2 linked regions of the Caenorhabditis elegans genome follow. The protein of the gene in region 1 purifies or fractionates together with the protein of each later gene. This does not show direct contact. Each region holds a gene or a part of one and is shown in the gene's direction. Other genes may lie near its edges.

Region 1 (5,954 bases):
ATTTCCATTGTGAACTTTTGGTTTTTTTAAGGAAGTGGGGAAAAAATCTAGGAAAACAACAAATTCCTAATGAAAATTCTGAAAAAATTGGTTTTCTATTTGGAAAAATGACAATTCAAGTGAATTTCAGAATTTTTTAGATTGATCTGAAAATCAAATAATTTTTTTTTCAAAAAAAAAACCATAAAACTTAGGTTTTTTTTTCTTAGGTAGAATAATTATAATTCAATTAATTGCAATTTTTCAAGCAAAAAATTCCAAAAATCATTCTTAAAAATTCGGTATTACTTGGACGCAAAGGGTTTCGGTTTTCGCCCGAAAATACGGTATCCGGTCTCGACGCGACAAATTTTTGTTAACTGCAAAAGGGTGTGCGCCTTTAAGGAGTACTGTAATTTGAAATTTTTAGTGCTGCGGGATTTCATACTTTTTTTATAAAATATACTTTTTTTTTATTGACAAACTCTGAGAAAATCATTACAAATTAAGGAAAATTCAACAAATTTGAAATTACAGTACTCTTTCAAGGTGCACGCTTTCTTGCATTTCTCAAAAAAAATTTCGTGTCGAGACCTGGTACCGTATTTTTTGTGCAAAATTGTAAAATTGGGATAAAAGGCACACAACTTTTATGGTAGAAAAACATATTACCAAAAACTACTTTCTTCCAAAATTTTTAACATCTTTTTATCTAAAAAAAAAACCAAAAAAAATCTAGCTGCATAACTGAACGATGCACCATAAAATAAATACTCACAAAATGAGCACATAGCCTTGTGTCTTGCTCGAACCCCATTTAAATTATTTACGAGCTTTTTGAACAATTTTTTTGGTTTTTTTTTGTAGTAAAGCCAGAAAAGGCCGAGATTTAGAGATCAGAAGAAGCATGCTACATACACAAATTTCCAGTTGACCGATTTAGTGAAAAATGAGTAAGGAGAGGGGGAAGAAATCAATGAGGAAGGAGCATCTTGTGTGCTCATGGGTCCATCGTTCTCACTTCTTTTACTAAAAGACCACATTCGGTTTGATTAGCTTTCTCTGTGCTTCTGCACATCCTCTCTCCTAACTCTCTATCTCTTCCCATTCATTCCATTTTCGAGAGAGAGGCAAAGAGAGGTCAGGTCAACCAACCCCCCCTCCCCCCCCCCCCCCCTTCAGTAGCAAACGCGCTCGATCGTACGGCCCGCGAGCAGTCGCGTGCATCTCCGCGCCCTCTTCCACTCGACACACTATCTCGTCGTGTTTGATCTGCAGGTTTTCGGGGGTACGGTAACACTGCAGCCCCTATTGACTGCCGGCCTCTATGGGGGACAGAAAAATGGAGAAGAAGAGAGATAGAGAGCGGCGGAGACAGTAGAGAAAATGGTTGAGGGAGAGGAGAGGGTACGTGAGAGAGAGAGAGTGAGTAGGAAATACACACACAGCATTGTTCGATTTCTCGTCGTCGTCTCTCATTTCTCCGCTGCTTTCTTCGATTTTCGAACACCACGACCGCACTGAATTTTTCGGATTCTGATCTGATCATCATCTCAGCCCATCATGTGACTGTGTTTTTTTTTGTGAATCAGCTTCATCATCAACATCGTGTTCTAGACACGCTTCTTCGACTTCAGATGTTTTCTCAATTGATCTACCCCTCCCCGTCCCGTCTAAACCGCATGCGAAACTGGTGACCAAAATCGATTTTCTTTCAGATTTATGAGTAGAACGTAGCCATCTCTCCGCATAGGATTTACCATAAGCGCAGTGCTTATGAATTCTGGTGAGTTTTGATTTTTGAAGGTTTCAGATATCTGGGTCTCGCCGCGAAGATCTTAATTCTGGATGAAAAAGCTCTCCTGTTGATGGACCCTGCCAGTGAACCAAAATTCATATTTGAACCTCTTTCCTATTACCGAGACGGTTTTTCGTCAAAAAATACGGCTCCCGGTCTCGACACGACAAATTTTCCCTAAATGCAAAAGGCTATGCGCCTTTAAAGAGAACTGTAATTTCAAGCTTTTGTTGCTGCAAGATTTTCATCGATTTTTCATAGTTTTCAAACAAAAATATATTTGTTTATTCTAAAAACTCAATTTGGAAACAATCGGTTGAAAAAATAATAAAAATCGATGAGAATTCTGCAACAACACAAGTTTTCAACTACAATACTTCTTAAAGGCGCACACACCTTTTCGCGTTAAAAACATTTCCGGGTCGAGTTTTGGTGTGGTGCAAAAATTTGAGCCTGGGGAATAATTCCGTCTTATTTCCGTGAGAAATCCTTCGAAAATTAACGTTTTTGTCGAAAAAAACCGTGAATATCAAAGTGTGTTCGTGGCGAGACCCATCCGAATAAATCCATGCGGAAAATCGATTAATTCGAATTATCGATCGCATGAAAATAATTTTAAATTCAGAAAGAAAACTTTAAATTAAAATTAACCAAAGCCTATTTTCAGTCGGTGGAGTAGCTACCGAACGACGATTGCCTCAAACGCAGCAATTTCTTTCGCATTCCAACTTTCACTCCAACGCAACAATTATTGACGAGTCCCAGTTTCCATCACTGGGCGCGAAAGGTAAATTCACTGATTTTTTTTTATTAGCTTGAGAATATTCTTAAATCTATGAAAAACTCACTGTCGAACTCTCATTCTTATTGTTAAATGGAAAAAAATTAAAATTAAAATATTAAATTTGACCTGCTTGTGTGGAAGTCCACGGAAATGTTTTCCTTGAATCTTTCATCCTTTTTATCAATATTTAAAAAAAATTAGAACAATTATTTCATTTCTCAAGGCATTTCATCGATTTCTATTCAGGAACGTCCTCACTCGGCGGCGGCGGATTCTCCCCAATCCCAACAACGAGCGGAGGTGTTTTGAACGTTGCCCAGTCATCGCCGTCGAGAGATCTTTACGGCGCACAAAGACCCAATTATGGTAAATTTTACTTTTTTCTCTTTCTGTGTGATGAAAAGCATGAAGTATCAAAAATTAAAAAAAAAAGTACGATAGCTGGTTGTGAACCGCGAATATATATTTTTTTTTAAATCAATTTTTGTTTGCTCTTTGAAAATGCGCGCGCGCGAAATTCTGATTGAACATTTTAAAAATTACAATGCGTGTTTCATTCTGTTTTGAACGCAATTGTGCAATTTTTCGATGTTGGCAACTTCTTTCCGTGAGTTTTTAGGCAAAACGCAAATTTTCTGATAAAATTTACTCATTTTTACTGCAAAATTCCGATGAATTCGAGAAAAAACCGCCGAATTCTTTTGGAAAATTTTATTTTTTATTTAAGAAAAATCAATATTGAATGTGTGCAAAAGTCCGTGACGGTGGTTGCGTATTCCATGATCGACCGTACCCCGCAGAGATTTTTCGTTCAGAATTTCCATAAAAATTCTCCGAATTTTCGCAGTTTTTGTCGTGTTCCTGTGTTGTTAAACCATGCAAAAATTAATTTTCAGCTAACCTGATGAGATCGGACCCCAGTCTAACAAATCCCGAGTTCCAAATACAGAACGAGGATTTTCCCGCGCTTCCCGGCGTCGGTTCTGGTCAAACACAGCGATCAATGCTTGGAGATCAACTGGCTAACGTACTTAAATTTAATTTAATGTCAACAAAATTTCTGCGTCGATGACAATCAAATAATCGATAAATTATTGCAGATGTTAGCAGACGACCATCAAGTCGACTTTGCTGGACCCCTAGGCGATTGTGACCCCTCGCGGCTCAGCGGGATATCAAGAAATAGTCAAGAAGGACCTATGCATGGGATTATTACTCATCCTGATGGTGGGAATACTTTAAAAATAAGCATTTAAAATAATAATTGTTAATTTCAGGCGAAGTGACAAACATTCCAGCGTCAATGCTTGACGATCAGTTTGGGATGGCGGGTTTGGTGACATATCTTCGGACAGTTGACAATCCTTCCATTGTTTCACTGGCGTTAGGTTATGATCTTACGACGTTGGGCTTGAATTTGAATTTGTCAGAGTGAGTAGTGGCCTGAAAAGCCCGAAAAGCCCAGAAAAACTCTAATTTCCCTCTGTTTCAGACGAAAATTGTACATGAACTTTGGTGGTCCGTGGGCCGATTCGCCGATTCGAGCACACGAGCTCGACGTGAAGGTGCCCGAGGAGTACATGACGCATAATCATATTCGAGACAAACTTCCACCGCTGCGATTGAATAAAGTTTCAGAAGACGTGTTATTCTATCTTTTTTACAACTGTCCAAACGAGATTTATCAGGTGGCGGCGGCGTGCGAATTGTAAGTAAAGTTTATTCCAAAAACCTGCATCGACCATGACCGCGAGCGGAGCGTCGTGTTTAAAAAATTTATTTTAGTTTTTTTTTTTCCCCGAGAATTTGTGATTTTCATGAATTTACATATGAAACGCATAAAAAATTGGCCAAAATGATAGAAAATCACTCGTTCTGGGCGAAAAACTTTCAAGAAAATCCGCTTTTTCGTTAAGATCGCATAATTGTTCATCATTTTAGTTGATTCTTATTTCGCCTCATATATAAATTTATGAAAAATCATGTGAATCACGCGTTCTTAGCGAAAAGTTAAAATAAAAATTATTGAGCCGCTCCGTTTGCAGTTACGTCGCGGTCGAAGTTCACGAATCAAATTATTAATAATTTTAAAATTTTAGCTAGAAAATTGAAAAAAACATATATTTTATGTTAGCAATTGAGAAAATCTTTTTTATCACGAAACAATCATTATATTTTCAAATTTTTTGCAGGTACGCTCGCGAATGGCGATTTCACAAAAGCGAACAGGTGTGGTTGACGCGTTCTCAGTACGGTGGAGTGAAAGAACAGACGGGAAATTATGAAAAAGGGCATTACAACGTGTTCGATCAGATGCAATGGCGAAAAATTCCGAAAGAGTTAAAGTTGGAGTACAAAGAGCTCGAGGATCGGCCGAAAATGCCGCAATCAGTTTCCGGACAACCGACACCCTACAAATACTTTTTCCAAGGACCACAATTTCCGAGCGGTCCGGAGACGGGTCTGATGCTTCAGATGCATAACTTGACGCTCGGCACAGGTGGCGGCGGTGGCGGACAAATCACTCCACCGGCACCAGCGGGTCTTAACGGAGTTATGGGTGGTGGTGGTGTTGGAGCAGCTGGAATCGGAGGAATCAATGTGCAACCGGGAGCCGTTCCATCGGCGGCGCGAGCTACTCCAAACTAAACAAGAAGAAGATGATCTCTCGTGTGCAAATTTTCTATATCCCACTTTCGTCATCTTGTTCTCGAATTGCTCCCTTTCTCTCTCATTTTCCATCTCTTTTTCCCCTCTTTCTCTCCACATTTTCTCTCCCAATCTCCCATTTTTTTCCTTCGTTTTCCTTATTTTTCCTCTTTTCTCTACGTTTTCGTATAAACGATTATCGATATACACAAGTTGCTCTTTGAAAACCTGTGATTTTTCAAAGAAAGAGCTTCACAATGACTGGCGGCGGCGGTTTTCTCTGTATTTTCAGTGGCGCAACACCGAACTGATAAGACGGGGAAAAAGGCTGAAAACAAGATGTTTGTCGATGACAAACTCGCCTACAAGGGGGTTCTGATATCGTTCCGTGATAGCAACACAGTTTCATTCGATACTATTATTGTTTGTCATGTCGTCGTTGGCTGAAATCGCGTCGAGACCCGAAAACTTGGAGCTTCTTGCTGAAGGAAAAACCAAGCAAATCTTTGATATTAAAGGAGAAAAGGTTGGTTTTTTTCACTGAAAATTCAAAAAATTTGGGAAAACATTAATTTTCTACTAATTTTTTAATGCTTTATAGATTAAAATTTAGATATTTTAAAAGCGCCTTTTGAAATCGTGATGCAAACGCGCTCCGCGAGTAATCTGACAAGCTCCGCCCCAAAACGTTGGGTCTCGTTGGGAACGTGAATTTTTGACGATCTCACCCAATTTTTTTTGCAT
Region 2 (6,515 bases), on another chromosome or scaffold:
TTTTGTCTTCTATTTTCAATTTTGAAAAAGAAAAACATTTTTCTCGTTATTCAAAAGTTTCTCTTCATGTTTTCTTCTCCGTGTGAAAAACAGTATAGATTTCTCATTCCCAATTCTCTTCCACCTCACCGGGTCACGTGAACTTGATGCGAAGGAAAACAAACCCTCAACTGTCTAGCACTCACAGTTTCTGGTTCCCGAGCGGTGGCGGCACACAAGGTCGAAAAAATTCAGTCACCAAAAATTGATAGCCTCGGCTGTTTTGGCGTGTCAAATTAATGAACACTGTCTTAAGAATTTCAACATAATGTTTCATCTTTTTCCTTTTTAGATTTATCATCTCCTGTTTGAATTTAAATATTTCACAAAGTACAAAAAGTTACGATATAGCCAACTTTTCATAACAGAGAAAAACCACTGTAATGTCAAATTTTCAGAAAATTGGTGAATTTCTGTTAAATATCCTTAGTATCCTCAATTAACAAGTTCCTAATCAATTTCTCTCCGAATCTATTTCCAACCAAAAAGTGTTTCAAGTTTGGCATGTCGCCCGTCCCGCTGTTCATCCCGTCCATCTTCGCTCGTGTGTCCCGTCCATCCCACATATCGAAAATATATTGGTAGTGTGTGTATGTGTGTGTGTGTGTAGAACTGGCCACACAGACGTATATACTGTTAGATACGGGGAGAACCACCAGAGATGAAGAGAAATGGTGGTGAGTGGTCGAGCGCACGTCGATGAGTGTCTATGAGTGCGGTGGTGAGCGCATGAGCGCGTGAGTGTGCGGCGGTGCGGTTTCTCCGTCTCTACACGACATGAAACCCTCTCAGTTGACCCTACGTTCCTTCTTCTCTCTGCACACACACACACATACACACAGCGGTCTCATTGATTCGTGAAAGAAAAAGAGAGAGCGAGAGTGCGGGAGGGTGGTCTGATGAGTGAAGCGTGAGCGGACAGACTCACGGGGGTTAGTAGTAGTGAAGCGAGGAAAAAGTGGAAAGACGGGGAGTTTCCGCTGCGTCTCTCGCCCGGCAAGCAATTTGATGTTGGCCTCTCACTATGAGATGGAGAGAGACAGACAGGGAGAGAAACGCGCAATGTCGTCGCCGGTCGCCTTCTCGCCCTCGATCGGGGTAGCCAGCAGCAGCAGCAGCAGCAGCAGCAGCAGCCCAGCCAACCAGCCTGCGAAGCACCAGACCCCTCTTCTAACTAGTCTCTCTCCTTCTTCTGCTTTTTCCTTCTCCTTTCTCTCTTTCCTGCTTTTTCCTTAACCCCTTGTCCGCCTAGTTCCCACCTAGCCAGCAGCGCCCCGGGGGCTTTTGGGGCCTTTCTTTACAACAGTAGTTATGTAGGTTGTACAAAACTTATTAAATTTTTTAATGTTTACCTTTTTACAGGAGAACGCTTTTTACACTGAACTTGTTTCTATCTAGCAGTATTGCATTAATTAATAGTTTATGCTTTCTAACTTTGACAATGATCTTGTAAAACATAATTTTGCTCAATACTGTTTGAATGGCTTTAGATCATTTTTTATAAAATTTCTATTAAGCTGATACTCCTGGTCCGTAAAATTTTCAATTGCCTTCATGAAATCCTGCTCGTTACGCGGCTAATGTTGTTCGACCAATGTACCCATGTCGAAATCAAATAGTGTTATCAATCAGTCTATCAGTTTCTTTGTTTTCTCTTGTCATCTATCATTTACCATCACGCTCTCGCCAAAACTCATCAATCAATAATATTCCATTTTTTACAGATAAGCTCAAACTCTGATCGCCAGAGCGCGATCAACGCAACCATGGAGAGTCTCGCAAAAAACTTCAACAACATTTCAATAGACGACGCAGCGTGGCATCCTAACGACCAACAGCCTGTATGGGGAAACAACGGTCTCCAGCAGCAACGTGTCTGGGCTCCGCCGGTACCGCAGCCACAGTTCCCAAACAGATCGCCATGGCAACAGGAATCGAACGATATCGGTAATTGGCAATTGTAATCTTGATGACGTAAAAATTGTTTCAGAGCCAAATGTCAACGAAGCCCTTGTTGGACTCAGTGGCACAGGCTCATCAAGTCAAAGCCAATGGGGTGGCATTCAGAATACAGATTATGAGAAACAGATATGGGGTGATCCACCATTGAGCGATGTGCAGTATCCACTTCAACCACATGCCTGTAAGTTCAAATTTGATTAGACGTTATATTTATAAATTTAAATCTATAAATTTTCAGCGTTCGGTGAATTGAATAGTCTTGGAGGTCAATCTGCGCCTTGGTCCATAGGGTCTCAGCCAGCGCACCCGGTTTGGAGTAACGGAGGAATGGGAAAAGAATCTGATGACTTTTGGAAACAGCAACAGCCTCAACAGCATCAGCAATACCCGATGCCATTGCTGCAGGGAGCCTGGAATACAGGCATGAGACATGGACCACCAGGACAAGGACAACGTAGTGGGCCAATGATGCAGCAGCAGCAAGACTACCAAGGGGGATGGGGTGGCCCGAATAACATGGGTGGCAACAAGCAGATGAACCGTCCATGGGGGCAGGACAGCAATCGTGGAATGTCAGGCATGCCGCCCCGAAACGGTCGTCCAAACCACAACCAGGGACGGTACTCTGGCAATATGGGTGGCGGTGTTGACGTTTCAGTTCCACCACCGATGGATATGCACATGGGAGGTGGTATGGGTGGAATGAGAAATATGGGTGTTGCTCCGAATAGTGGACACGGATCATGGAAGAATAACAATGCTGGTGGAGGTCAAGGAGGCCACGGCGGTCAAAGAAACTACAACAACCGTGGTGGAATGGGACACAGTGGAAGCCAGAGTGGCGGAGGATCCAATATGTGGAACAGCACCGGAAACAATGGAAGTGGTGGAAGCATGCAGCAGTTCATGGGAGGAGACCAGCAGTACAACAATCCATTCCCAATCGGCGGAGCTGCTGATGATCTCACACTGACTGTTTGGCATGATCCAAACGGAGAACTCAAGAAATGGCAGAGAGATACTGGAGTGTCCTATTGGGGAGACCCGGAGAAGCAAAGTGAGTTTTTTAAAAAAATATTTCCTTGGTGGGAATTGAATGAAATTCTCCATTGTTTCATGAAAAACTGAAATTAGTCTAAATGTGTTGCTATAGAAATCACCTATTATCGACTATTTTTGCAGCTGACCGTACCATTAGCTTGTGGATTGTTGGCGAAGGTGCCGATGAGGATTTGGAAACTGCATTGAACCGATGTCCAGTACCACAGAAAAAGGTAATATTGTTGTCTTAGGTATTAAATTGAACTTCATGTCTCAGGGAGAGGACAATCAACGTTTCCCATTCCCAGTACCAGCGAAACGGCCAATTGTTGTGACCGGATGGGGAGAGCTTCCAGAAAATGATCCAAACAATCCGTCCAAGAGCGAGTCGACGATATTCGACGAGAACAACAGATGGAACGACTTGACAACTGAGCAAAATCCATGGTATCTTCCGAATCAGCACACTTCAACATTCTCCAGTGACAACACCACTGGATCGTGGGTGCAGGGAGGAACAATTCCACTCAATGAGCCCGGAACCAATCAACACGTGGCTGTGGCGGAGATGCTGAAGAACGCTGTCGACAAGGGATACCTGGACCAGAGCGTGACGATGATGGCCAACTTACCGCCAATGGTGCTGCAGTATGTCAATATGCTGCTCGTCAAAATTCCAGCGTTGGATAGTGTGGAGAATGAGCTGAAGCAGATAATTGAGAGTTCTCTGCCAGAAGATGTGAAAGAGGTTGATCCACAGAATCAACAAAAGTACATGAATGATAGTCAAAAGGTGAGGAAGATTGTCGAGTTTTCAGGTTGTTCAGGATAAAATTATGAAAAATTAAAATAGTAGAAGCCAAAATAATTATCATACTACAACCTATTATTATAGGAAACAAATGAAAGCTAGACATTTTGCTAGAAATTTAAAATATCAACCTTACCAGAAAACTAGCTTAGATCCTGCTTAAACCTAGATTTTAAATTGGGCGGCGGGATAGCTCAGTCGGTAGTGGTGGCCGCTAGCAAGCTGGAAGTCATGAGTTCAAGCCCCCTAGGTTTACCCAGCCTCTATTGAGAAGTGGAGCAATCAACGACTGGATTATCGGTCACGGTCCCCGGCTTGAACGTGGCTCAAATAATAGCCCGGTGGGAGCCCCACCAGACAGTGCACTACGGAACTGAATTCCAGATCCGCAGTGCATAACACCTGAAGTACGGATCGTCCTTTAATCCTTTAATATCAAACTTTTGAAAAATATTAGACGCATCGCTAAGGAGCTCAGATTACTTCAGTTCGATTGCTTGCAAAGATGAATAATATGAATACCAAACAAATCAATTTTCCAGCTTGAACACAATCGTCTCATCATCGAAGTGACGACAGCAAAGATTGAAGTTCAAGAATACTCGAAAAAAGTGAACCGTGCGCTGATGGACGCTGGAATTGTGCAACCGCAGGAGCAACGTGCGCCAGCCTCAACGGAGGACTATCACTACTCGTTCTTAGAATAGATTGTATCGCCCACCGATCTTCTCTCCCACACACGAACAATTATCATCATTACTTTTATTTTGTGTTTCGCACTGTAATCTGAATTTTAAGTTTGGAAATTTGAAATTCAAAGTTTCAGCCTTGTCATCATCATTTCCCATTAACTTGTCTCAGTGACCTTTGACATTTTCTTCAATACTTTTTTACTCTCCCCCTTTCTCTTTAATTTCGTGTGTGTGTGTGTCTGTTTCCTTACTTTATTGCCTCCGGATTTCTATTGTAAACGTGGTCTTGTGAATGTTCTCTCTATCTTGTCGTCTCCTTCCTTCTTTACTGCTGATCAGACGGGGAAAATTACACGTTTTTTGTATTTCACCTCTCGTTTTGCCATCTCCAGATAATCAATTTTTCTTGTTTAAGGGGAGGCTCTCGCCTTTCCCCCTCCCACTAAGAATAATTTGGTGGCTGGTGCTTGGTCTCACAGGGATTCCAGGTTTATGTCTGCCAGTTCATACCTTCTCTTCTCTCTCTCTCATAATAGGGGTCTTTGTTCCAACAATTTCCAACCACGCGTAAATCCATCTTACTTTCCCTTTTCCATAACATCCAAACCTCAAAATATAATAAAGTCCATATTAATCAAAATACTGTATTTCTTTTTTTAAATTGTATCCTTTCGAAAATATAATTCAGTTTTTGGGGCTATTTCCACTAAAACTGCACTTTCTGCAGAGCCTCTGCGAGCATTTTCACCCCACTACTCTTAATCCCCCACGTTCACTTTTCAATCAAGCTATTCCCATTTTTAATTTGAATCAAAATTTCTGTGTATGCTTTGCTTCCAAACGTCATTTGTAATCTGGGTCTTTTCTACGTCATTCTTTACAGTTTCAATGTGCTAATGTCTCCCGTCTCTTGTCTCTTTTTGCTCTCACCCTCACTCACTAAGTTCCAACCAAAAATTGTGATGAAATTATCCCTGAAAACTTGTCAAAATTGGTTCAATCAGCTACATGCGCACACTTTGAAAATCATACAAAAATAAATACAAGAAACGCCTTTCTAAACGATACATAAACTCGTCGTCCCGGCAGCATTTCCCTAGAAACCAGGTCAATTCCTAGTACGGCCCTTTTCCGAATTCTCGCTCTCAATTTCAAACAAAATGGTGTTCTCATTTCATTGTCTTCTTCTCCAAACTTACCGGACTTCAAATAAACTCATTATGTGCAGTACAGTTTCACAATTCGGGACCCTCTCTCTTCCAGAAATTTGTCAATTCCCCTCTCTCATTTCTCACTCCGGCTCTCAAAAATCTTGATTAAATCTCGCATGAACATGTAATAATCAAAACTGTTTTCTTATCTCTTACCATACTTTACTTGTAACACCCATGCCGTCCAACATCACCTTTGGTTCTATTCTCGTATAATAAAACGTTGTGAATTAAACTCTGGAATGTTCAATTTTAGGGAGCAGAAATGAAATAGCACTGTTTCTGTATTTATTTTAATATTTATTTCAAGTTTTAGGTTTGAGTGTATGATAGAAACACAATTAATATTTTGTATTCAAAATAGCCAATTTGTTCAGCAACCGCTTTTTGGTATCACCTGTGCAGCCAGAAACCATTTCTCGTAAAATAAAAGCTTGTCAAAAAGATTCTCCCCGGCCGGGAATTGAACCAGGGTCTCGCATGTGACAGACGCGGATACTCACCACTATACTACCGAGGACACATTTTTCAAAGAATTCGGAGGCTTTCAAAATCATTAATGTAAGTTGAAACCAGATTTACTCTGCAATTCTTACTTAAATTGTAGCATTTTGGCCGACTAATAGTATGTAAAATAAATATGAAAAAACAAACATAAAATAATTTGACAGTTGACCTTGTCGCATTAAAACCAAAAGTATACAAAATATAAGCTGCCAATGATGCATGAGCAAATGTATAGCCTGAAAAAATAAGTAC

Evidence for each region. Proteins that work in one complex are often made in the same cells at the same time.
Region 2: the proteins of ntl-2.1 (region 1) and ain-1 purify together in Caenorhabditis elegans (affinity purification with western blotting, with the first as the bait; one study listed by BioGRID). This does not show direct contact.

Annotation. Positions count from the first base shown.
Region 1 is NC_003280.10:4,372,202-4,378,155, reverse strand, and holds ntl-2.1 (NOT2/NOT3/NOT5 C-terminal domain-containing protein), read left to right. Parts: upstream 1-1,697; 5' UTR 1,698-1,755; coding exon 1,756-1,765; intron 1,766-2,444; coding exon 2,445-2,564; intron 2,565-2,807; coding exon 2,808-2,927; intron 2,928-3,114; exon of another isoform or gene 3,115-3,149; coding exon of another isoform or gene 3,150-3,168; intron 3,169-3,457; coding exon 3,458-3,588; exon of another isoform or gene 3,589-3,608; intron 3,609-3,661; coding exon 3,662-3,788; intron 3,789-3,838; coding exon 3,839-3,992; intron 3,993-4,053; coding exon 4,054-4,269; intron 4,270-4,753; coding exon 4,754-5,210; 3' UTR 5,211-5,415; downstream 5,416-5,954. Other genes in the region: paic-1 (Phosphoribosylaminoimidazole-succinocarboxamide synthase), read left to right, coding at 5,641-5,736.
Region 2 is NC_003284.9:16,611,688-16,618,202, forward strand, and holds ain-1 (ALG-1 INteracting protein), read left to right. Parts: upstream 1-1,763; 5' UTR 1,764-1,805; coding exon 1,806-1,986; intron 1,987-2,029; coding exon 2,030-2,182; intron 2,183-2,239; coding exon 2,240-3,058; intron 3,059-3,183; coding exon 3,184-3,275; intron 3,276-3,319; coding exon 3,320-3,835; intron 3,836-4,184; exon of another isoform or gene 4,185-4,333; intron 4,334-4,395; coding exon 4,396-4,560; 3' UTR 4,561-5,988; downstream 5,989-6,515.